3 linked regions of the Notamacropus eugenii genome follow. The protein of the gene in region 3 interacts with the protein of the main gene of each other region in a pairwise test. Links are inferred from orthologs where the notes say so. Each region holds a gene or a part of one and is shown on either strand. Other genes may lie near its edges.

Region 1 (7,832 bases), about 86 Mb from region 3:
GCTGAGAGGCTAATGACTTCCAGGGTGACAAAGTCAGTTTTGTCAGAGAAAGGAACTGGATCTGAATTTCCAGGCTTCAAGGTCAGCCGGATAGATAACCACTACCTCCCTTTGTCTCTCATGATGCAGACAAGGCCCATGCTTGTCTTCATTTTACTTAGGAGGAATCTGAAATGGAGGCCCAGAGATTCCATTAGACCGTGAACTCCTTGAGGGCAGGGGCTGTTCTTTGCCTCTTTTTGCTGGACACTTTGTAGGTGCTTAACAAATGTTTAATAACGGACTGACCCAGAGGTTAAACAGTTTGCCAAAACGATCTTCACAAAGCACTGGTCATTCCCCTACTCAGTAAACTTCGGTGGCTCCCTCCTCCCTCCTCTCTGTGCCTGGCTGTTCCATCTTCCTGGGATGTTTTTTCTCCCTCTGCTTCTTGGCTCCCTTCAAGACTCAAGTTCAAACCCTATCTTGTGCAAGTCTCCTCCGCTGCCCCCTCCCCTCGATGCGCAGTGACTTCTCTCGGAGCTCACTCCCAACTGGCCCTGCACACTGATGTGTGTCAGTGCTATGTTCTTATTTTGCACGCTGTTTCCCGATGGCAGGGGCTGTTCTTACACCATCAGTGCGTGTCACCCCGTCTATCACCTGGTAATTCAAACCCCAAGAGTGACTCACATCCTTTGCATGACTTTGTGCCTATGTGTCTGCCCCCTCCCCTACACACACACACACACACACACAGACACACACACACACAGACACACACACACACACAGATACACACAGACACACACACACACACACACACACACAGACACACACACAGACACACACACAGTCACACACACAGACACACACACACACAGACACACACACACAGACAGACACACACACACAGACACACAGACACACAGACAGACACACAGACACACAGACACACACACACACAGACACACACACAGACACACACACACACAGACACACACACACAGACAGACACACACACACAGACACACACACACACACACAGACACACAGACAGACACACAGACACACACACACACACACACACACACAGACACACACACACAGACACACACACACACACGTGCACCCCGGGTCCCCCATACCCACGCTGAGCACGGCGCCTCTCACTCAACGGAGGCTTCCCGGCCCGAGCTCCCCTGGGGCCAGGCTGCTCCCTAACTACGGTGGGTTCTCCTTTCTCCTCTTCCTTCTCAGCCACGGGCCCCCCCTTCCTCCCCGGCGGCCCCCTCCCCAGGGCCGGGAAGCTCTCCTAGAGGAATTCGCTCCGGTTCCCTGCGCCTTTTCCTCGGCTGCTCCGGCAGGAGCCCTCTGCCCTCCAGGTCCCGGCTAAGACCCCACCTCCTACAGGAGTCTGGGCTGACCCCGAACGCCGGACCCTGCGCTCCGAGGATGATCGGGGCCGGACCCCGCGCTCGTGCGCACGCTGCTGCCCCGGATAAAGCCCCGGGAATGCCCAACACAGTGCCCTGCCTCCCGCTATTGGGGGGCTGCCCCCTTTCCTTCTTCCTCGGTGGAGGGCGGGGGGCTCCGGGACCGCCCGCGTTCTCCGCCCGTCCCGCCAGCTCCCGATCCATTTCCTCCCGCACCTTAGGGTGTCCCAGCCACGAGCCCGTCCCTCGCGAGGGGGCGCGAGGAGAGGACCCCCCGCGGGGCGCGGAGCCGTGGCCGCCCGAGGCGGGAAACCTCGCGCTCTCCGGGGCGCGCGCGCCTCCCCAGCCCGTTACCTCGGCGGCGGCCACCGCCTCCGCCGCCCTCACCTTCCGAGGGCTGCAGGTCTCGCAGCCCTCTCCTCGTGGTGGCCGGCGAGGGCTGCGGCGGCGGCGGAGCCTCCTGCTGCTGGAGCCGGGTCGTTCTCCTCGTATTCATCTCTCCGAGTCCCAAGCCCGAGAGCAGAGAAGGCGGCCGAGGTCTAAGGTAATAGTAGGCTCTTCTCTCCTCCACTTCCTCTTTCCCGGGCACGGGGCGGAACTCTTGTGCCTGGGTCCGCTTTTCCACCCGGGCACTTCCCCCGGACGCGAGCGGCTCGAAGTCGCCGTACACTTGGGGCGGGAGCTCGGAGAACCTCACTTCCCGTCGGCCCCTGCGCCGAGCCATGGGGCTTCCGTCCGCGAGCGCGTCTCTTCCGCCGCCATCTTGAGGGCCGAGCGGGCGCCTCCCTTGTCGTAGCGGGGCCCTGGGTGTGACGTGCGCTGCCCATCCCTCGCCTGCCATGGTTCGCGGGCCTAGGATGGCCGGCCGGGTCCCTCTCCGGAGCGGCGGCGGGGGCTTGGCGCCCGTCAGGGAGGCAGCTGGGAGTCGTCGGGGCCGCGGCCGCCGCCGCTCTTGTTGCTGTTGCCGCCGCGGTGTGCGGGCTCCTCTGGGCCCATGGTAGCTCCCGAAGGTTGTGAGGCAGGCAGTGCCCGGCTCGGTCAGCTGCCGCTGGGTGTGTGTGTGTGTCACCCCCGCCCTCCTGGCTGCAGGCCCGCCAGAGGAGGAGAAGGGAGAGCCTGGCCCTCCTGCGCCGGGGGGCGGGGAGGGAGGCTCGAGGAGCCGGCCATCCCGGGCTCTCTGGCGAGCGTCACGGGGTGGGCCCGGCCGCCCGCCCGGGGCCCTCCCCGCCGGGAGGCCGTGATCCGGGGAGCCCGAGACAGCGCGGCCCGCGCTTCCTCCACCATTTTGTCGCATCTGTAGCCCAAGCGCCCGCGCCGACCGTGACCCCGTCCGCCCGAGCCGGCTCCGTCACCCCTTTCCTGACTCTGGTGAAAGGTTCAAGGGTCGGTCGGAGACCTTGACAGTTCCCGGGGTAGATGTTGCGGGGACTCATTTTTGTCTTCGCTCTCTGAAATGATCCCCCCTTCCCTCCCTCTCTCACTCGTACATCAGGAGTGGGAGCGGGAGAAAAAAAAAGCCTTGTTAATTGAAAAAGTAAAATAAAAAACTTGTGAAGTCACGGTGAAATGTTAGTCACTTAGTGAAAGCAAAAGCCACTCGGTTTTGATGGGAAAATCTCTGCCCGAAGAACGACCTAGTCGTTTTCCAAAAGCAACATTTGAGTAACGAAAGAAATGAAAAGAAAGTTTGTCCGTCAACCGTATGCTAAAATGATTCTGACGCTTACAGAATTTACCAGCGGATTACGGGCAGGAAACGTTTGCAAATCGGGGTGCTTGGTGCAGCTGATGGAAGGCTGCTTGTTCCGCTGCTTTCATGTAGTCCTGCCGGCGCCTCCGTTCCTCACCTTAAAATTAAGAAATTGTTTACATTCCTTGGAGCTCTTCCATAGATGAGCCTTTTAGAAACTGACATTCCTCCAACTGAAATTGACGAGTGTTTTCCACTTCATTAGCGACTTGGTAAATTACATGTATTTTTTTTTTAAATCTGCGGCATAAATTTGTTGTAGATTTCATCGTACAATCCCCAAGTTTAGTTTACTCTCAATCCAGCACTTGTTAAGTACCCGATCTGTGCCAGAGACTAGAATACAAAATGTTAAAAACTAGGTAGAAACAAGATAGTAGTAAACAATCCACATTAGAGGATACTCGTATTTAACAACCAATCTGAAGTACTGGAGTGCGGTAGTCATAATTGGTGAAAAGCCTTTTGTCTTTAAAAAAAAAATTCTATTTTAAGGATACAGTAACTAGCTTTAGTCTAATAATCATATCTCTTTGAGTCCAGGGAATATGATTTAGTGAATAAATAAAAAAGGATTGATGTTTAGGGTATCAGTTTTTATATAGGTGACAACTTGAGTATGCTTTGAAATTAGTTTAAGGAATTTAAAGTTATTAGGATCTCGTTTAAACTACTCTCGGTAAAAAAAACTTCATTATCTCAACTTTGTCCAAATGATCATAAATAAAGAATTAGTACATACAGTCTTGCCTTTCTGTGGTTTTTAATTATAAATAAAATATAGACCCTTGTTATAGCATTGGCTAAGGATACTTTTTGTATCAGGTAACATAATACAGGGACATAATAGTGCTTTTAGAAATCAGTAACTCATTTTTTACATATATGATATGAACACTGGTCTCCAGTAAAATCAGAACGTGAAAGATAAAAAAAGGAAGAACACTAAGAAAAATAGCTCTTTGTTGCTTTTTATTGCATTCAGGGAAGGGAAAATGAAAGTGGTCTATTTGAGCCTAAGGGATACGTACATGAGACCACAAGTTTTTTACTGCTTTTAAAGTTATTTAAAAGTATAAAGTAACTAGCATTTAGTATTTTAGAAAACTTCTAAAAAGAGTATATTATTAACATAGTCAACTGTAAAATTATTAAATTATACTGTCTACAATAAATCAAATGCTATATATACTGAATAGACATTGTCAAAGGATCCCTCAAGGGCCTCATTTTTTAACAGTAGATTAATATAAGCAAAAATAATAAGACACATCAAAAACTTACCTTTGGGCTCTTTTTGTTGTGGAAGGTATTTCTTTAATTTCTTGTGTGTGTGGTCTAGAAAGGAAGGGGTTCATCTACTATTATACTTACTGATGCGTTGCCAAAAATAGCTCGAGTGGTTTCCCCAAAGAAATCTTTTAAAAAAGAAAGAGCATAGACAATTTTAGACAGAAGTTTGCTTGTTTGTGGCCTTGGTCTACCTGGGAGGACTACTTATATCCTGGCCCCTCCTCTGTTTGTGAGGTGACAGCAGAAGCTGCAGATGCCTAACAACATGTGTGTTTCACCCAGCAACCCCTTAAACCTTAACCTAGAGAAAAGTTTTAATGTCAGAGCTGTCCAACAGAGAAGTTGTTTGTCTTCAGGAATGTCATCCCTATTGGGAAGATACATTTAGAGCTGGAAAGGACTTCAGAGGCCATCTAGTCCAACCCCTTATTTTACAGATAGGGAAACAGATCCAGAGAGATCAAGTGACTTGAAGGTTTACAGGTAATCAGGGGTGAGATTTGAGCCACTAAGCCTCTGATTCCAGGGCCAATGTAATTTGTGTACCCTACCGGAGAATTTATCTCTTAGGTTTGTAGAAGGGATTCCTTCCTGTCAGATTAGCTTAAGACCAGCATAAACTTTTGTCATTTCAGTTACCAATCTCTGAAAATTACTATAACAACCCCTAATAAGGGTTTGGCTAGAATTTGTAATTCTCCATTGGGAAAGACTGCAACCCCAGTTTCTTCTTAAACTGGGGAGAACTACAGATCCCAGTGGCTTTTGTGACCAGTCAATCCAGGAGTGGTTTGATTACAATTTTAAAATATTTCTTAGTAAAGTGCCTAGAATGTCATGAAGAAAAATTTCATCTTTTAAAGCACTGAACTAAATTTCATTCTGAACTTCCCTTTTTACTGTGGAGGGGCACTACCCTGTCCCCAGTCATTCAAATTCAAAACCTTGTTGTCCTGGCCATTTGCTATTCCTCACTCTTGTCCCTCATATTCAGTCTGTTGTCAAATCTTGTCATTTCTAGCTCTGTGACATCTCTCATACATCCCATTCTCTCTACTCATACAGCCAGTACTCCAGTTCATACTCTGTCCTATCTCCACTCCACTACTGGAGTAGTTTTTTTCTAAATTAAAGACCTAACTGACATTGAGTTCTGTGGCTCCCTATTCCAAGATCAAATTAAAGACTTTGGTTTGACTTTTAAAGCTCTTCGTGATTTGTCCTCTTCCCCTTTGAAATCTTACACTTTACTTGATTCTACACACAATGTGATCTAGATACAGTGACCTTGCAGTTCTGTGGTCGTGATGTTCCATCTCTTGTTACCATGCCTGGCACTCATTCCCCTATCTTAGAGATGGATACTATTAAGACACAAACAGGGGTGTGAGTGTGTGTGTGTGTGTGTGTATAATATGTAGATTATATATCTATCTGTTCTTTCTTTGGATGTAGATAGTGTCTTCATATGTCCTTTATTTTTTAATTTTTGGATTTATAACAGTGAAAGGGACTTAGTCTTTTGAAGTCATTCTTAAAACAATATTGCCGTTACTGTCCACAATGTTCTCTTGGTTCTGCTTATTTCACTTTTCATCGTTTCATACAGGTATTTCCATGCTTTCTAAGATCATTGAGCTCATCATTTCTTATAGTATTCCACTGCAACCATATATCACAATTTGTCCAGCCATTCTCCAATAGATGGACATCCCCTCAATTTCCAGTCTTTGACACTGCAAAGAGAACTTCTATAAACATTCCATTCACATTCAAAGTTATAATTAGTTTATGAATTTCTCTCCATCTTATTTTTACTCAGTTTTGTTTCTTAGCCTCTCTTTTTACCCTATCCCTGTCACCTTATCTTCTCTCCCTCTCAAGTCCCTCTCCTACTTCATCCACCCCTCCAAGAGTCTCTTCATCTCTCACAATCTCAATCAGTACATTCCTCTAAAAGTCCCTCCCCTAGTTTTCTCATTTTTGCATGCTCAGAAGACTTCTACACTCTCCTGGAATATTCTTTCCTATCATCTCTGCCTCTTAGTTTTTTTGACTTCCTTCAAGATTGAGTTCAAAGCCCACCTTCTGTGGAAGGCTTTTCTCTGACTCATCTCTGCCCCCACTCCCAGATGTGAATGGCTTCCCCCATTGATGCCATATGCTCTATATAGATTATGTATGTAGTTAGTTATTTGTTACTATCTCCCCATTAGACTGTAAGTTCCTGGAGGGAAAGGGAGATTTCCCCCCCATTCTTTGCATACCCAGTGCCAAGCACAGTGGAGGGGGGCACAAAATATACACTTAAATGCTTATTGGTTGACTGATACTAAGTACTTTTAACAGTGGAGACTGACTGGTGATGCAGTATCTTCTGAAGGAATGGGGATCCAGGTTTCTGTTAAGTCCAAGAAATTGTAAAGACTAAGAGGAAGCCATCTAAGAGGAAGAGGAATTTATCAACAACAGAGCAGGATTCCAGAGGGCACAAGGAAAGGGGAAGACAGAGTAACAGAATTGCAGAGGTGTATGGTTGAGGTTGATGGGAATGAGAATAGAGAATGCTATAGCAAGGGAAGATTTTCAACTTGGCAGATGATGACTGAATCACAAACATGCTTAGGTCTCTCCAATAATTAAAACAATAATTACAATCACATTTACATAGCTCCTTAAAGTTTACAAAGCACTACCAAAATAAAGTGCAAATGAGTACATGATTTAGGTATAAAGGCTGATACTATAAACAAATTAGGGGAGCAAGGAAGAGTTCATCTGTTAGATTTATGGTGAATGGAGGAATTTATGACCAAACAAGAGATAGAGAACATTATGAAATGCAAAATGAATAATTTTGATTACATTAAATTGAAAAGTTTCTGCACAAACAAAGCCAATGCAACCAAGGTTAAGAGGGAAGCAGAAAATTGGGAAAGAATTTTTACAATTAATATCTTTCATAAAGGCTTCATTTCTAAAATATATAGAGAACTGAGTCAAATTTACAAGAATACAAGTCATTTTCCAAATGATAAATGGTCACAGGATATGAATAGGTAGTTTTCAGAGGAAGAAATTAGAACTATAGTCGTAAGAAAAAATGCTATAAATCAGCATTGATCATATATTGGCTCTGACCACACTTGAACAATTAATATTTCTTCAGTTACTTAAATCTGAACTTTATTTGCATAAAAATGTTTTATAATCATGTTCATATAGTTTCTGGGTTTCTCTTGGCAGCTGTAATCTCAGGTATTTTATTCTTTCCATGATTGTTTTAAATAGGGTATCTCTTACATCTCTTGTTGCAGGTTTGAACTTTTAAGTGAAGGATGAACTGCGCTGCTAGTCTTAGCCTTGTGCTTCTT
Region 2 (8,007 bases), about 300 Mb from region 3:
AGAGAAACAGTTACTATTTGGGAAATTAGATCAATAACCTGCTTAAAGACAGGGCTAACATCTTACTCCTCTTTGCATCTCAGTGCCTTGAGCAGCACCTTAGATGCAATAAGCACTAAATGTTTGTCGAAGTGAAATGGATGAGAAACCTGAAGACTTTTACAAGTTCTTACTGCATACCATGCTTATTGCAGGTAAACGAAATGCTGTCAGATACCTTTAGTGTCCACACAATGGCTAGGGAAAGAAAGGAAAAGAAAGACCAGCTCCAAACTAGGGAAACTGGTGGGGAAGCTGGGACCTCTTTAAGATGCATTCCCTTCCTTCCCACCTTTAACTTCTCAGCCATTCCCTTGCTAAGGAAAGATAAAATTGGTTGACTTCTTTTAGGCAAGTGTCATTCCCCTTCAACATGGATTCCAATTTCCCCTATATCAAGCATGAATATAGCTAAAGTCTGCCACTAGGTAGAGAGTTCCCCATACTATGTGATTTGAGAGGCACAGGGAGGCTCTTTTTGCCCCAAATTAATCACCTGCATCCTGAATATTACATTTTTTTAAAAACTAGGTAAAGTTCTTTTCTTTTAGGGATGAGAGACAGTATAACATAGTGGTTAAAGAGATAACATCAAAACTAGCTATTGGGAGTCACTGACCCAGCAGATGAAGTTCATGTTCAAGGCCTTCCACAATCTGGCCTGAGGTCATCTATCTACCCATATGTCCTACCTTTATACTTACAATCCAAACAAATCATTCTATTTCCTACTCTCTGAATACACTGTACTCCTCAAGAGAATGATCCCTCTACACCTAACTTCAAGACCTTAAGAAAGTTCCTCTTTCTCTAGCCCTGACTACTCCAGACTCACTGAACATGTTCTTTTGAATTTCTTCAGTACAAATTGTCTATACTAATTGGCACTGATCATATGGTCACCTTGGCCTGTTAATTTTCACATGTTATGTTTCATCTTTGAAATTAGATTGTAAAATCCTCAATTCATTTCCATAAAAGGCATTGTTCTGGGCACTAGAGATATAAAAGAAAAAAGATAATATTACTGCTCTCTAGGACTTTACAGTCACAGTTCAATACTTATATCTTCCATGGTGCTAAGCAAAGAGCAGGCATTAAACAATGAATGAATGATTTAATGAATGAAATGAAAGTGGAGATAAAGATCAAAAAGATGTGCTATCATCCATCAATACCCTGGGAGAGGCAATAAAACAAGAAAAGAGACGCAGGGATGGCGCTAGATGAGAAGCTGTGAGACCTGGCTTCTACACCCAGCTCAGCAGCTCAAGAGCTATACCTGTAAAAGAGATTGATTTCTAAGATGCCTTCCAGCTCTAGGACTTAATGGGTTATTGTCTTGGTAATAATGTAAGAAATACCATTTCTGGGTCACTGCCACTAATCATATGAGACAGAGCACAGAGTAAAGGAATAGTGTAGCATGGTCCTAGGAGAAGTACTGGTAAGCAAGAAACTTCTCCCACGCCACCCTCTTCTCACTACTGCTTCCCTGTCTCATTTCTCCAGTGGTAACTGTTCTGAATACCCTCATTTAACAATTTCAGGGGCAGTCCACAAACAGGACCTTGGCCTTTCATGGCTGCTGAATTTCTACACTGAAACAACAAGAACCCCATCCCTGTCTGTTTCACATCTTTTCTCCATAATAACTGTATTTACTTCTAAACTAAAAAGCAGAGGCAGCAAATAGTGCTACCCAGTTTAGAAAGAAAACCATGGACAGGGAAGTTCAAGTCAGCAGTTTGGCACAATTATAAGCAGTATATATTTTGGATGCACCAAAGTGTATGAACACCTTTTGGTGGGTGATACTTAATGGACTGCAGATACGCACCCTTGTTGGCCCACAAAAAACCAAAAACAAACAAACAATTCCACACATCTCCCTCTTCCCACCTGTTGCTCTGGTTCATCCAGCTCTCTCTCCAAATCCTCCAGCACAGTCACTGCCTCCTCTCCACTCTGTGGATGATGGTCCCGCACCCAGGTCTGAAGCTCCTCAGGCAGGATGGTTAGAAATTGGTCCAGTACCAGAAGCTCCAAGATCTGTTCCTTCGAGTTTATCTCTGGTCTTAGCCATTGGTGACAGAGCTCCCGGAGTCTGCTCAGAGCCTCTCGAGGCCCAGAGGCCTCTTGGTAGCAAAACTGCCGGAAGCACTGCCGGGAACACTCTCTGGTTTTGAGATGCTTATTCGGCTGGGTGGAATCTTGCCTGAAATTGTAACCCTCATCCTCAGTTTTCACTTTCAAAATTCTCTCGCAGTCTTGTGGAGTCTCAGTGTTCCAGGAGGCTGCCATCCCAGGCCTGAAGAGCACTGAAGGCCACTCTAGGTAGTTACAATGTTTCTGCTTATTTATTCACTTATGAGTACGGATACAAACACTGCCAAGAAATTTAAACATTAACTAATGAACATCAATTCACTGAAGATAAGGAAATTCTAAAAATATGAAATAATTATGAATAAAAGATTTTTAAAAGGAAAGGAATTCTTTTTAAAGAATAAAAATTAAAAAAAAAAGAATAATGAGAAAAGAAGGATGGGAGTGAAATTACAAGGCGGGGGAGAGGGGGAATCAGGGGAGGGTCCCCTTAATTGGGAATTCCCTTAATTCATTTAACTTCCCTCATTGGGTATTTGTACAGGATTATCCCTCCACAATCCCTTTCAGGAGCGATCAGAGGAGCCCCCTGACCGGGGGTGCCCCAGATCTCCGGGCGCAGCGCAGGGCTTGGCTTGGCAGCTGAGAGGGACCCGCAAACCGGTGCACTACCCAGCTGGGAGGGAGGAGGCTGGTGCGCCCGCCCTCCAGGGCGCTTTGGGAAAGTGCAGCCCTGCTGACGTTCAAAGGCGCGGTGGGCGGGCGACACTGAACCAGTAAGATGCCCCCACACCCACGCCAGGTTAACCACAAAGACCGGAAATGTATCAGCGAGTCTCCGCGGGTTTGGGGGAAACCGGAGAGTAGAAAGCACCCCAGCCAGGCCCCTCCCGTACACTTCCGGGTTCTCTCTAGGAATTGGAGGGGATCCTATGATTCTTTAAAATAAATAAATGGAATTTTCAATGATAAATTTGTGACAATAGCTAACAAACCCAGTACTCAAACAAAAGCAAACAACAATAAAAACGCAAATGTCTATCCTTCAATTTATCCCAGGCAAGTTATCCAACAAAGTATTGTCAAACTCACCAGCACCACTTCTTAGGAAAGGAATGAGGAGGGAGAAAACAACGCTATTTCCCCAAGCAAGACACTATCACAGCTACGATTTGGGGAGAAAAACGGAATAGCAGCACCCAGAAGTTCAAAAGAGACAAAATCCAAGAAAGGAGCTAGTAACGAAGTCAATTGGCAGGCTTTGAAATTTGTTTTAGCTCCTCAATCATTTTGACCAATATATATTCTCTGTCCACTACCTGTCTTCATTATCAGATTGTTAAATTGGGCCTTATTTCTTTGATTGGAGCAAAATATGGAAAGAACTTAATTAAATTTGATAGTAGTATAAGATACTGGAGATCATCATGAGTAAGATATTTAATGTGAAAATGTGAACTATTACTCTGGTCTCAGAGTGAAGCTGGCTACATTTCTTCAGGGTTCTGGAGGGGTTAAGAGGTTTTTCTCTAATGTTATTGGCTCAAGGCCCTCACTGTTAGCTGCCATAGATATTATGAACTGATATCAACAACTTTTTTTAAAGGGATATTTGTTTAGAACATAGAGTAAGAACAGAAAAACATTTTGCTCCTCTACATACACTTCTGGAGCATACTGTCCTCCATATTGACTTGGTTCTAGGGGAGAGTAAGCTCAAACTCAATGCATTTTCTCCGTAGAATTATTCTTATCAAGTTTACATCCAAATGCTATATCACTGCTGGATGAATTGTTGTCTCAGTTACCACTAGGCTAGGTTTGGAAGACCAACTCTTTGCTCTTCAGGGCTGAAAGGTGGACATACTGCAGCATGGATCTTGGACTTCCTGGTAGTTTTTTTTCTTGATCTTTCAAAACTTACAAAGATGTGGTCTCTAATCTCCTTCACCTAAAACTAAAGAGTAAACACCATACTCCTGGTCCACATATGTCAAACCTAGAGCGGGAGGGCCTCTCTCTTATAGAATTATACCTCTTATCCCTCCAGAAGACCATCAAGCAGATAGACCAAAGAGAAACAGGTTCTGGTCAACTGGTGCCTTTTGAATGCACCTCAGTTCTGGCTATCCAGACAATGAAGGGAGCTCCTCATCACTACCTGGTGAGTGGACTGGAACCAGTTGCAAAATGTTTCCACTGGCTCAAAGGTCCACATAGGGATTACATCAACAGTGTGGAATGTTTGTCCTTGTTTAAAAGATCTATAGATCATTAGCCATTCCCTTGTTACATAAGTTTGGGTTATAAGATGTTTTAAACAGGCAAAGAGCAGTCATTTTATCATAAAGTTCTTAAAATGAAAAAGTAAATAGTTAATAACTTTTGTTATAAAACCTTGACTAGAAAATACTTCATAGCGTCCTCTTTGCTTAGTTTAGTCCTTAAAGTTTGATGTTTTTCTTAATGCCTCATCTTTTTGGTTGTTAGACATTTGTAACTTAGTTAATATTACAATTTGTTTAAAAAATTAACCTACGTAGCACAGATGATAAGCAAGATCCTAATGAAAAGTCAAATTTAATTTCATAGATGGCACTAAGACTTAGTAGGATGAGACCCTTACCTGGAATGTAATTGGAAGCATATAATTTATTCAAAAGAAGAGGATAAGTAAAAGGGGAGGCTTTAGGAACAGTTCAGTTAAATTTTTAAAACTTTTATTAATTACCAAGAGTGTGTGAGGCACTACAAAAAAATCAAGTTTGGTTAAGAACAGACTTCCAATGAAGCTTAGATAGTTCAGGGATGCATCACTTTGGAGTACGGCCATTGCACCAAAGAGCATAGACGTTTTCGCATCTCAGCAGATGTCTTAATGATTTTGATGTGGCCAACCAGGGACCACACCCCCGCCCCAACATACAATTTGTGAAAAGTCTCAATGTAGAATGCTCCTCAAATGACAGTTGATTACATGGTCCATTGCTATGGACCTGAAGCCTTCCTTACTGGAGTCAGGATCTCATCATTCAAACCTTTGAAAACCCCCAGAATCATCTTCATACTGTGACAAAACATCTGAGTAAGAATTTAGTAAAGGGGCCTAAAAAGTTTACAGTTATATTCTATCTTTTATTCTGGCTTGCCCTTGAAAAACATGAAGCAAACACTTATATAAACTGAGGAAAGAAGAACCATATTGTAATCAAGGTAGTTGGCACCCCACAATAGATCCTAGATGAGCCCCAACAGTGTAGAGCCCATGAGGCATGGCCACCCCTGGGTTGGCTCACTCACCCAAACCTGCCTTCACCCTGACACTTAATAATGCTGTAATAGTAACTCATATTTCTATAGAACCTACTACATGCTAGGCACATTAAAAATTTTATCTCATTTGGTCCTCACAACAATGCAAGGAAGTAGATGCTATTATTATCCCTATTTTACAACTGAGGAAACTGAGGCAAACAGAGGTTGAGTGACTTCAAGATAACTAGTAACTGTCTGAAGCTAGATTTGAATTCAGGTCTTTTTGATTCCAGGCCCCATACTCAACTGTGCCAATTAGTTCCTAGAGAAGAAACACCATCAATCAATCAATAAACAGCTATTAAGAATCTGCTACAGTATGTGCCAGGCACTGTGCTAAGCACTGAGAATACAAAAAGAAGCAAAAGACAGTCCTTGACCTAAAGGAACTTACAATCTAGCAGGAGAAACAACCTGCAAACATACATATGTATGTATATATGTGTATATATGTGTGTATGTGTGTGTATGTGTGTGTATATATATATATACATACATATATATGCATGTATGTATATATGTATATATATATCTCAAGCTATATACAGGATAAATAAGAAATAATTAATAGAGGAAAGGCACTGGAATGAAGAGGTCTTGGGGAAGACTTCTTATAGAAGATGGTATTTTAGTTGGTACATAAAGGAAGCCAGGGAGGTCAGTAGTTGGAGCAGAAGAGTGAGAATATTCTAGGCATAAGGGACAGTCAGACAGAATGCCTAGAGCTGAAAGGTGGAGTAAAAAATACTCAAACAATCAAAAGGCCAGTGCCACTGGAGTATTCTGCAAGAAAACTTGAAAAGGAAAGATAGGAGGGGGTTAAGTTATAAAGGGCTTTGAATGCCAAACAGATAATTTTGTATTTGATCCTGACAGTAATGACTGGAATTTACTGAGGAGAAGGGTGACATGGTCAGACCTGCACTACTTTGGCAGCTGAATGGAGACTTGAGGCAAGCAGATCCACCAGCGGACAATTATGATAATCCAGGGTTTCTTAGGCTTTTTCCACTCACAGCCCCTTCATTGCTTCTTAAACTGTGGGTCTCAACCCCATAAGGGGTCACAATTAGTCCAGGTGTGAGTTGATGATGGCCTGCCCTAGAAAGGTGACAGTGTCAGAGGAGAGAAAGGGGCATATATGAGAGATGTTGCAAAGGTAAAATCAACAGATATTAGCAATAAGTTGGAAATGGGAAGTGAGAGACAGTGAAGAATTCAGGATGATTTCAGGTTGTGACCCTGAGAGACTGGGTCTTCTCTGTAGTAATAGAAAAGGTAGGAGTGGGGAAGGTCTAAGGAGGGAAGATAATGAGTTCCATTTGGGACATACAGAGCTTAGGATGTGTGCTGGACATCCAGTTTGAGATGTCTGAAAGGAAGTTGAAGGACAAAGACTGGAGTTCAACAGAGAGACTGGGACAGGATAGGTAAATTTGAAAAATCATCAACATAGAGATAGTAATTAAATCCTTGGGGGCTGATGAGGTCACCACTGAAGGAGCATAGAGTGAGGAGAGAAGAGGACACAGGACACAACCCTGAGGTATACTTAAGATTAAAAGGCATGATCTGGAGGAACATCCAGCAAAGGGCATGGAACAGGAGTGGTCAGCTATGTAGGAGGAAAACCAAGAGAGAATGGTATCCCAAAAGCCTAGATAAAAAGGAGTATCAAGGAGGACAGAGTGATGAACAGTGTCTAAAGCCACAGAGAGGTTCAGGAGAATGAGAACAGAGAAAAGTCTATTGGATGTGGCAACTAAGAGATAATTAGTAACTTTGGAGAGGGCAGTTTCAGTGGAATGATAGGTTCAGAAGCTAGATTGTAAGGGGTTAAGAAGAAAGTGGGAAGCAAAAAAGTGGAGACACCTCTTGTGGATGGCTTTTTCCAGCAGGGTTGGAAGGATCAAGTAAAGGATTTTTCAGGATAGGAGAGATACAGGCATGTTTGTAGGCAATAGGAAAATGAGCCAAAAGACAGGAAGAGATTGAAAATAAGTGAAAGAGTAGGGATTATAGAAGGAGCAATATATTGGAAAAGATGGGATGAAATGGGGTTGCTTGAACAAGCAGAAGGATTAGCCTTGAAAAGGAGTAAATTCATGTCATCATGTGGAATGGGGCCGAAGGAAGAGAGAATGTCAGAACATACTTGAATGATAGATGAGGAAGAGGGGAGAAAAGAGAGTTTATGGCAAATGGCCTCAATTTTTTTTCTGCAAAATGAAACAAGTTCTCACCTGAGGGAGTGGAGGGAGAGGGAGGTATAGGAGGTTTGAGGAGGGATGAAAAGTTTGGGAAGAGGATGGTGAGAGAGGGATAGTGAGTTGATTAGAGGGATATAGTAAGATTGCCTAGTAGCAATGAAGGCCCAGTTGAGGTTATTTAACATAAATCTGTAGTGGACCCAGTCAGAGGTACAAAATATTACCTAAGAAAAATAATAAAGTAAAGCCAAAAGACTGGAAAATAGAAGAAAATGTGAAATATCTCATACAAAACAAAAACAAAACTGATCTGGAAAACAGATTGAACAGAGAT
Region 3 (7,732 bases):
TGGTATTGTTGGTTGGAAATGTTGGGTACCAGGGACATCTGAAGAGCTCAGAATTTGGGTTCAAGGTTTTTGTGGCTTTGGGAGAGAGGGTCTCATGGGATCAGAGTCTGGCATTAGACTCTCTTTGCAATCTGAATAGAGGATGTAGCGGGAACTTGCCCAGGCTTACCAGTCCCTTGTCAACTTTCTTTGGCACAGAGATGGGACTCAGAACCATCAGCCCTCCTCTATGGGACCCTATAAAAGTAATGGCAATATTCTGGAATGGGCTGCCTAGTGAAATAGCAAACTCCCTGTTATTAGAGGTCAACAAGCAGAAGCTGGGTGACCATTGGTAAGGCTTATGGCAGAGCAATTCCTGTTCAGATAAGTAGGTAGATTAAGTAGCTTCTGTAGTCTTTTCCATCTTTGAGATTCTGATTGTCAGTCAATAAACATTTATTAAACTCTTTCCATGTTTCAGGCACAGTGCTATACTGTGGGGATACAAAGGAAGGCCAAAGACAGTCCTTGCCCTCAAGGACCTCACAGTCTAACAGAGAGAATTGTTATTTAGTCATTTTTCAGTCATGTCTGACTCCTCACGATCCCTTTTGGGGTTTTCTTGGCAAAGATACTGGAGTGGTTTGCCATTTTCTTCTCCAGCTCATTTGACAGATGAAGAAACTGAAGCTAAGTGGGAGAGGATAGGCAAATAATTATGGGCAAACAAGCTATATAGAGGATAAATTAGAAGCCATCAACTAAGGTAGGCACTAGAATTAAGAGGGATTGGAAAAGTCTGCTGGAAAAAGGTGAGATTTTAGTTAAGATCTCAGGGAAGCCAAGAGGTGGAGAAGATTGCAGCTGTTTGCTTGGTTTTTGTTTGTTTACAAATGCTTTCTTGAGGCTTTTGTTGCTATAACTCCACAGAATTACCCCTTGGGGTAGACAGGGGAGGGCTGGCTCTCCTAGCTCAGGCCTTGGCATTTGAATCTTTTCCCACCCTTCTCCTACCCTCAAGGAACTTGTCCCCCCTTATAGCTATCATCTGACTGTGTTTGACTCTCCAATCTTACTTACAGATTGGACCTTGTCAAAACCCAGCACACAAAACCAGAACTCCTTTTCTACACTTTCCCTAAAGTGGGTAACTATTTCCTCCCTCCCCCAGTGGCACAGTCTGTCCCTCCCTCATTCTGAAGTTTGAAGGTACAAGAGTCTTCCAGACTCCTCTCTTCACGCCTCATATGCAGTCAGTCCTTCCCCCTGCTGAAGGTTAGTTCTTCCTTCATGATTTTCTCTTGGCTCCCAGCCTCCTCATTTTTTCAGTCAATAGCCCTGTAGCAGCTCTTTTCATCCCACACCTTGATTACTGCAATTGACTCCTAGTTGGCTTTCTCACCTTCATCCAACACCCTTCCCACCCAAGATGCCACAGTAACCTTCCTCACACAGTTTTCATTTCATTCCACCCTCACTCAGGAATCCACAGTGGAGCCCTGTAGCCAACCCATTGGCTCATCCTTCCAGGCCCTTGTACCAATTAGTTACCCATCCCTCCCCTCTCCAGTTTTACCTTACTCCCCAAATGAGTCCCTTCACTTCAACCAGACCAGGCTTCTGACTGGTCCCAGCACAACAAATAAGTTCTTATTCCACTTTTTTGAGCCTTTGCACAAACCATTCCCTTCCCTTCTTTCCCCTCCCACTTCCACCAATCCACTTCCAGAGTCTCTTTTTCATCTAACCAATTGTTGCTGAGCACCTCCTTCAAGCTTGGGCTCTGAGTCCACCTCCACCGAGAAGCCTGCCTAGACTAACCCCACCCCACCCTAACTATTCTGTCCTTCCTGCTCTGTTTTGGGTTCGTAAATTGCTTGGTAACTGATCTTTAAACTTGTTCCATGTGTGTACAGCCTAGCAGCCTGAGAATGGGCACAGACTTCTGCTTTCTTAGCTCCAGACACAGTAAAGAGGCAATGAATACTTATTGAGTTGAGGAATCTTTCCATGTCACAAGAAAATTAAGGTTCCAGGAAGCTTAGTGACCAATACAGGGTCATGAAGAAAGAGGCAGAGTAGGGGCATGAACACCAATTTTCTTGATGTGGACTTATCTTAAAGCACTCTCCAACCAGACCCCAAATTCTCCAACTTGGCAGCCTTGTTGCTAGTTATTCGCTGCATGGCACCTTTCTTGGTGGCTCCAGAACTTCAATAAGAATCATAAGATTCTAGAATTCATTTTACATATGGGAAAACTGAGGCTCAGAATGATATAGTCACTTGCCCAAGGCAAACTAGAACTGGAATAGAACCTAGGTCTTTTGACTGTTAGTACCATGCTTTTTTTCTATTACATCAAGCCAAATTTCCCTTGCCACCACAAATTCATTCTACTTTTTGGTCTGTTTTTGGCTACTTACTAACTTCTGAATCCATTCACTATACTGATTTCCAAGGACCCAATCTGTGGCACCATCCTCAGGACTATTTGCTCCTGGGGAAGGGTAGAAAGAGAGAAGTGGCAAATGAGATCCTCTGGTTTCTGTAAGTGCTTTGAGTTTGGGGCTTCTGATCTAGTATCTAGCATAAGGCTTTGAGGTTGAGATTTAGAAGATTTATAGGATCATAAGGGTCATTCCTTGGAAAAGGGGAGTCAAAAACTCTACTCTGGGCCCAGATAAAGGCTTGGGATGCTCAATTCTTTCTATTGCTGCCTCCTGCCCCTTTGTTCTTTCTACAAAGGGGGAGACTCCAGATTGGGAAGAGTTAAATGTGGTTTTTCTTCCCCAGCCCAAAAGGGAAGCCAGGCTGTTTGGGTGGGGCATTGGGGCCCTGGGGGGGGGGAGCAAGATGCCAAAGGGGAGGGTGGCTGAGGCAGCTGGGAACAGCATGAACCCCATCCTTCACGTTTCCCTGGCTCTCTTCCTCTCCCCCCTACAACCCTGCTCCTGGTTTGGGGAACAGAAGAGGGAGAACAGAGCTTTTGTTTTGTCGGGGAAGCTGATGGTGGTAGTAAAGTGCCACACCCTAGGAGGGGAGAGAATTGCTAGGGTGGGGAGCCAGGTTTATGGTTCCTTTAGTCTTAGGGATTGGGAGAGCCCATGGGATCCAAACGATGGAAGTCAAACGTTATGCTTCCCTGTCAGGAAACCACCCTCTCCACCTTGCTCTGTCTCACTAGTATTGGGACCCATGTGACCCAAGCCCCAGTTTCTTCCCATTCTTCTTGATGTCAACTTGTTCAGTCCAAAGTCCTATTTGTTCCTCAGATGCTACCTGGGTCCAGAACCCAAGCTTGAGAACCTAGGCACCTTCTTTCAACAGTTAGAGAATGTGAAACTGGAAAAGAGCAATGTAGCTCAATTTTCATGGCTCTTCTGGAGGAAAGGGGATTTGGAGAGGACATTAGAATAGGTGTACAGTCTGGCCCTTGATACCTGGCCCTGGAGGCTGTGGAGGATAAGGGTGGATAAAGGTAGGGAAACTACTCAGGGTGTATGGGTAATGGAATGGAACTAGATACCTGGATTTTGAGTAAGAGCAGAAGTCTGCCATAGCTGAGCCAGACAAGATTAGAAACTTCCAAGCCTAGCTTTTGTGAGAGCCCGAGGGAGTCTGCTCCAGAGCCACCTATTTAGGACTTATCAAGTGGGGGAACCTGAGTTTCACTTTTAGTTTCTGGAAAATCAGGGTCAGGACTGGGATTCCACAGTCCAGGCTTCCATTCCCTCTGCATCCCCCAGCTCCAATCCACTGCCCCCTCTCTGATGAGAATGGGGATAGGGATTCAGGCATCTGGACTCTTAGCCCAATGCTTGACTCCCCTCCTCCTGGCCCCTCCAAGAACCACAGGAATCTGGGACCCTGGTGTCCTGGCAACATGACGCACAGGCTCTGGGCGTCTGTTTTGAATTACTAGTTAAAAATAAGTCCTACAGTTAAAAACGGAGAGGGGCTGAAGGGGGGGAAGGGACCTCGGAATGTTCTTCCTCCCATCTTCTGGGCCCGATATCTGACAGTCTTGGTTCTTGTTTATGAACCTTGGGGAGATAGAAAGGATGGGATGCAGGTCCCTTGAGTCTTGTTCTCCAACCTGGGTTTGGGTTGGAGAGGCATGGGGTGGGGGTGGGAGGGAAGGATAAAGGTCAGAAAAATTCAGAACCTTAAGGTGGGTAGATGATTTGGATGTCTCAGGTATCCAGAGCTTGAGCCCCTCAACTGAATGCAGGCATCCCTTCCCCCACACTTGGTTTGCTCAAATCTTAGTTGCAGAATGGGCTGCCCAGATGTGGGCAGGAGGGGGTAAGGGGAGGGTGACTCATTGGTTACTATGGAAGGGAACCCATGGGGAGAAGTGGAGTGAGTCACTTTTTGGGTACCAGCCTACCCCGCCCCCACCTGCATGGGACCCCTTAACTATGTTTTCCCCCAACTTTACTACTTGGCCCCTATTTCTCCTTCCAGATACTCCTGATCCACCCTTTGCCCACTCCCACATTTTCACTCTTCTGTTCTTAGTCTTTTGGAAAGGGGTAAAGCCCTGGGCAGGCAGACAAGTTCCAGACCATAGAGACATCCATCAAAGTTACAATGTACACAAGAGCGCATGGGGGACAACACCATGAAGGGCCTGGACACCCCCCCTCCATTTCAACCTAAGGTCCTACTGCCTAAGAATTCGGTGCGCATGCTGCTGTTCCTTTAAGAATGTGGCCCCTCCCCTCTTCCCAGGCTTATTTGAGCCTTAGCTCCACAGCCCGGTGACTCAGACTCAGAGTGTCCAAGAGCGCCGCGTCTACACTGGGCGGCCTACTTACCCAAGAAGGGCTAAGATCAGAACTCCGGGAGGTCGCCCATCCGAGCTCCGAACCCTAGCGGGCACCTGTCTCCGAGAGGAGGCTCAGCTGCCCGACTTCTGCAAACCTTCCCTTCCCCGTCTTCAGGTCCTTAATCTTCAGGGACCCCCTGCCCCCAGGGCGCTGCCACCCTGCCTGCCATGGATACCCCGTCGCAGCGGCGTGCCACCCGGAGCGGGGCACCAGCGGGCTCCACCCCGCTGTCCCCGACTCGGATCACGCGGCTGCAGGAAAAGGAGGACTTGCAGGAGCTGAACGACCGGCTGGCTATCTACATCGATCGGGTCCGTTCGCTAGAGACGGAGAACGCGGGCCTTCGCCTCCGGATCACCGAGTCTGAGGAGGTGGTGAGCCGGGAGGTGTCCGGCATCAAGGCCGCCTACGAGGCCGAGCTCGGAGACGCCCGCAAGACCTTGGACTCCGTAGCCAAGGAGCGCGCCCGTCTGCAGCTGGAGCTGAGCAAAGTGCGGGAGGAGTTTAAAGAGCTCAAAGCTCGGTGAGTGGGCCCCGGTGTCAAGGAGCTCCGTTCGGCCCAGGGAAAGGGGATTCATTGGGAGGGTGGGGTGGCAGTGGTGGTGTCTGTAGCTCCCCAGAGCGAGGAAGCGGCAGGTGGCATAGCCTGGGGGTGGGGAGAGAGAAAATATCCATCCTTCCTTCTGGGAGGTCTTCTCAGGTAAGAGGGGTGGAAGGAACCCTAGGAAGGAACAATTTTGCCTGTTCCAGAGTTCCTAACCTCCTAGGTGGTTAGGCTGAGTCAAATGGCAGTTACATGTCAGGTCAGAAGAGCCTCTGAGTAGAGGAACTAGGAGAATTGGGTGCATTTGGAGGTGAGGTGGAAAGCAAGTCGGAGAATGCTACCAATAGACTCATATGTCACAGTGCCTGGGTCCCTGCCTGAGGAGCACTGGCTGAGTCCAGTTGGGACTTTGCCAGGCTCCTGAAGCCCCAAGGAGAAGATTGGGCAATGACCAACTGGAGCTAGCATTGCCCAGGCAGGAAGTCCTAGAGGTGTTGGGGTGGTTGAAAGGGTCCTGTCAAGTATTACCCTTGCATGAATTGGCACCACGCCTACCTTGCCCAGGCTGTCTCCATGCACGTGGTATACTAGTCAAGCATAGGCTTCCAAGCCTGGCACCATACCTAGCAATGCTTTTGTCGGGGTGGTAGGGAAGTTTGGAAGACTGCTGATTCCCCTTTCCCTAGTACATGGGGGCATGGAAACCTCCAGCCAATGGTGAGCACGGGCATTCTTGCCCTTCTTGGAAGGACTCTGCAAGGTCCCGTACCCCTCCCGCTCCCCCATTGCCTGGGTCTTTATTTATTTTTTTACAGTGACTAAGCAACAAAAAAAGTTCTAGCTCCCAGAATTTCCATATTCCTTGGCCTCTCTAGGATGGGAATAAAGAGAAAGGGGCTTGTGGCTAGAGATTCCAGTCTGGATTATGGTGCTCTGTGTCCTATCTTGGAGGAAAATCGGGAGGGTATTTACCCTGCAAACCTAGCACCCCCTGATCTTAGTGAGCGTTCAATCTTGAGTTGGCTCGAGTCCATCTTTCTTGCCTTCCTGGAGACCCCAGTCATTCTTTATGCCTGGGCTGGTCACTTTCATTTTCTGTGGTCAGGTTTGTGCAACTATGTCATCTGGTTCATCCCTTTCCTCTGACGTTTGTTCTTTGCTCATTAAAATGCTTGGAGATTATGACTTTTTTGAAAATCAACCGTTGTTAATCGGCAGCCTCCCCTGGGGCCCCTCCTACTCTCCTCCACCCCACCCCACTTAAAAAAAATGACTTTGGGGAGGATTGGTCTTCTTACCACAAGTCCTAAGGCATTTTTTATTTTAATGCTTGTATCTGCCTTTTCCTTAGTGAGACCAGTAAATATGTTTAGAGATTCCTCAGTAACTCTGGATTTGGGATCTTGCACTTTCTTAGCCATTTTCTCTAAAGTCTGTTTTTTTTCAAAAATCTGTTCCTCTCGAAATAATTTCCAGAGTATTTCTTGTGCCTTCCCACCTCCCACCTCCCCCTTTTTCTGTTAGATTTCATCGTACCCTTTCCCCTCCTTCAATCTTATTCCGCAACTGGCCCAGGAAGAACCCAAGTTAGTAGAGTGTGGAAAAAAAACACTAATTCTCCTCATGGCCTTGCTTAAATAATTTAACCCATTTTTTCCCCATGTGATCTGTTCAAGGCGAATGAGTCAAGAAGAAATATGTAAGAACTAGTTAATAGTCTTAAATGAGTTCCTTCTGGAAGGGAAGATTTTGGCTGCTATTCTTTTTGGAAAGAACAATGGGGTTAATAGAACTGTGTCCAAGGGTTGCTCGTTATTTTCTTGATTTTGAAACGTTGTTTGACTCTCCCTACTTTGCAGCTGTCCCATTGTGGCTTCTGGGACCAGTGTGGGGGGGTGGGAGGTGGGGGTAGAGACAGGGGTGTATCCTATGTATGTGTTATATTTAGCCAGCTGCCTCTATTCTCCCCCACAGATCCTGACTTGGGGTGGGGCTGGGCTTCCGGAGAAGGCTGGGTGCCCTGGGGCAGTGGGGATGAGGGTAAATTTCAAAGGAAAGTTGAAGGCTCTGAGTTGGGGTGACTGGGATAAAGGGTGCTTTCAGACCTTTTTTGTCCCCTTCTGCACACCCCAGGATAATAGAGAATTAAGGACAGCCCTCTTCTCATCCTCTCTGTTTGAAGGTAGCCACAGGAGGAGCCAGTCTTTCCCAACGCTTGCCCTCAGCGATACCTTCCCTTTAGTAGATTCTGGACCCCGAAGTCTAAGAACTCTTCATATTGCTAAGTGTGCAAAGCCAAGGCCCCCACTTAAAATATCTGTGACCCTCAGACCCTTCCTTTTTTTCCACTGAGTCAAATAGGATTCACCCT

What was found.
Region 1: the proteins of LMNA (region 3) and TOR1AIP1 interact in a two-hybrid assay, tested with the Homo sapiens proteins (2 studies listed by BioGRID). The link is inferred for Notamacropus eugenii from reciprocal best matches to the Homo sapiens genes LMNA and TOR1AIP1.
Region 2: the proteins of LMNA (region 3) and ZSCAN12 interact in binary tests that used the Homo sapiens proteins (3 or more experiments, as listed by UniProt). The link is inferred for Notamacropus eugenii from reciprocal best matches to the Homo sapiens genes LMNA and ZSCAN12.

The regions. Positions count from the first base shown.
Region 1 is NC_092873.1:465,742,041-465,749,872, forward strand, and holds the start of TOR1AIP1 (torsin-1A-interacting protein 1), read right to left. Parts: upstream 3,095-7,832; 5' UTR 2,710-3,094; coding exon 1,770-2,709; intron 1-1,769. UniProt on the Homo sapiens protein: Required for nuclear membrane integrity. Induces TOR1A and TOR1B ATPase activity and is required for their location on the nuclear membrane. Binds to A- and B-type lamins. Possible role in membrane attachment and assembly of the nuclear lamina.
Region 2 is NC_092873.1:76,710,512-76,718,518, forward strand, and holds the start of ZSCAN12 (zinc finger and SCAN domain-containing protein 12), read right to left. Parts: upstream 3,095-8,007; 5' UTR 2,344-3,094; coding exon 1,942-2,343; intron 1-1,941. UniProt on the Homo sapiens protein: May be involved in transcriptional regulation.
Region 3 is NC_092873.1:380,196,450-380,204,181, forward strand, and holds the start of LMNA (lamin), read left to right. Parts: upstream 1-4,721; 5' UTR 4,722-4,984; coding exon 4,985-5,340; intron 5,341-7,732.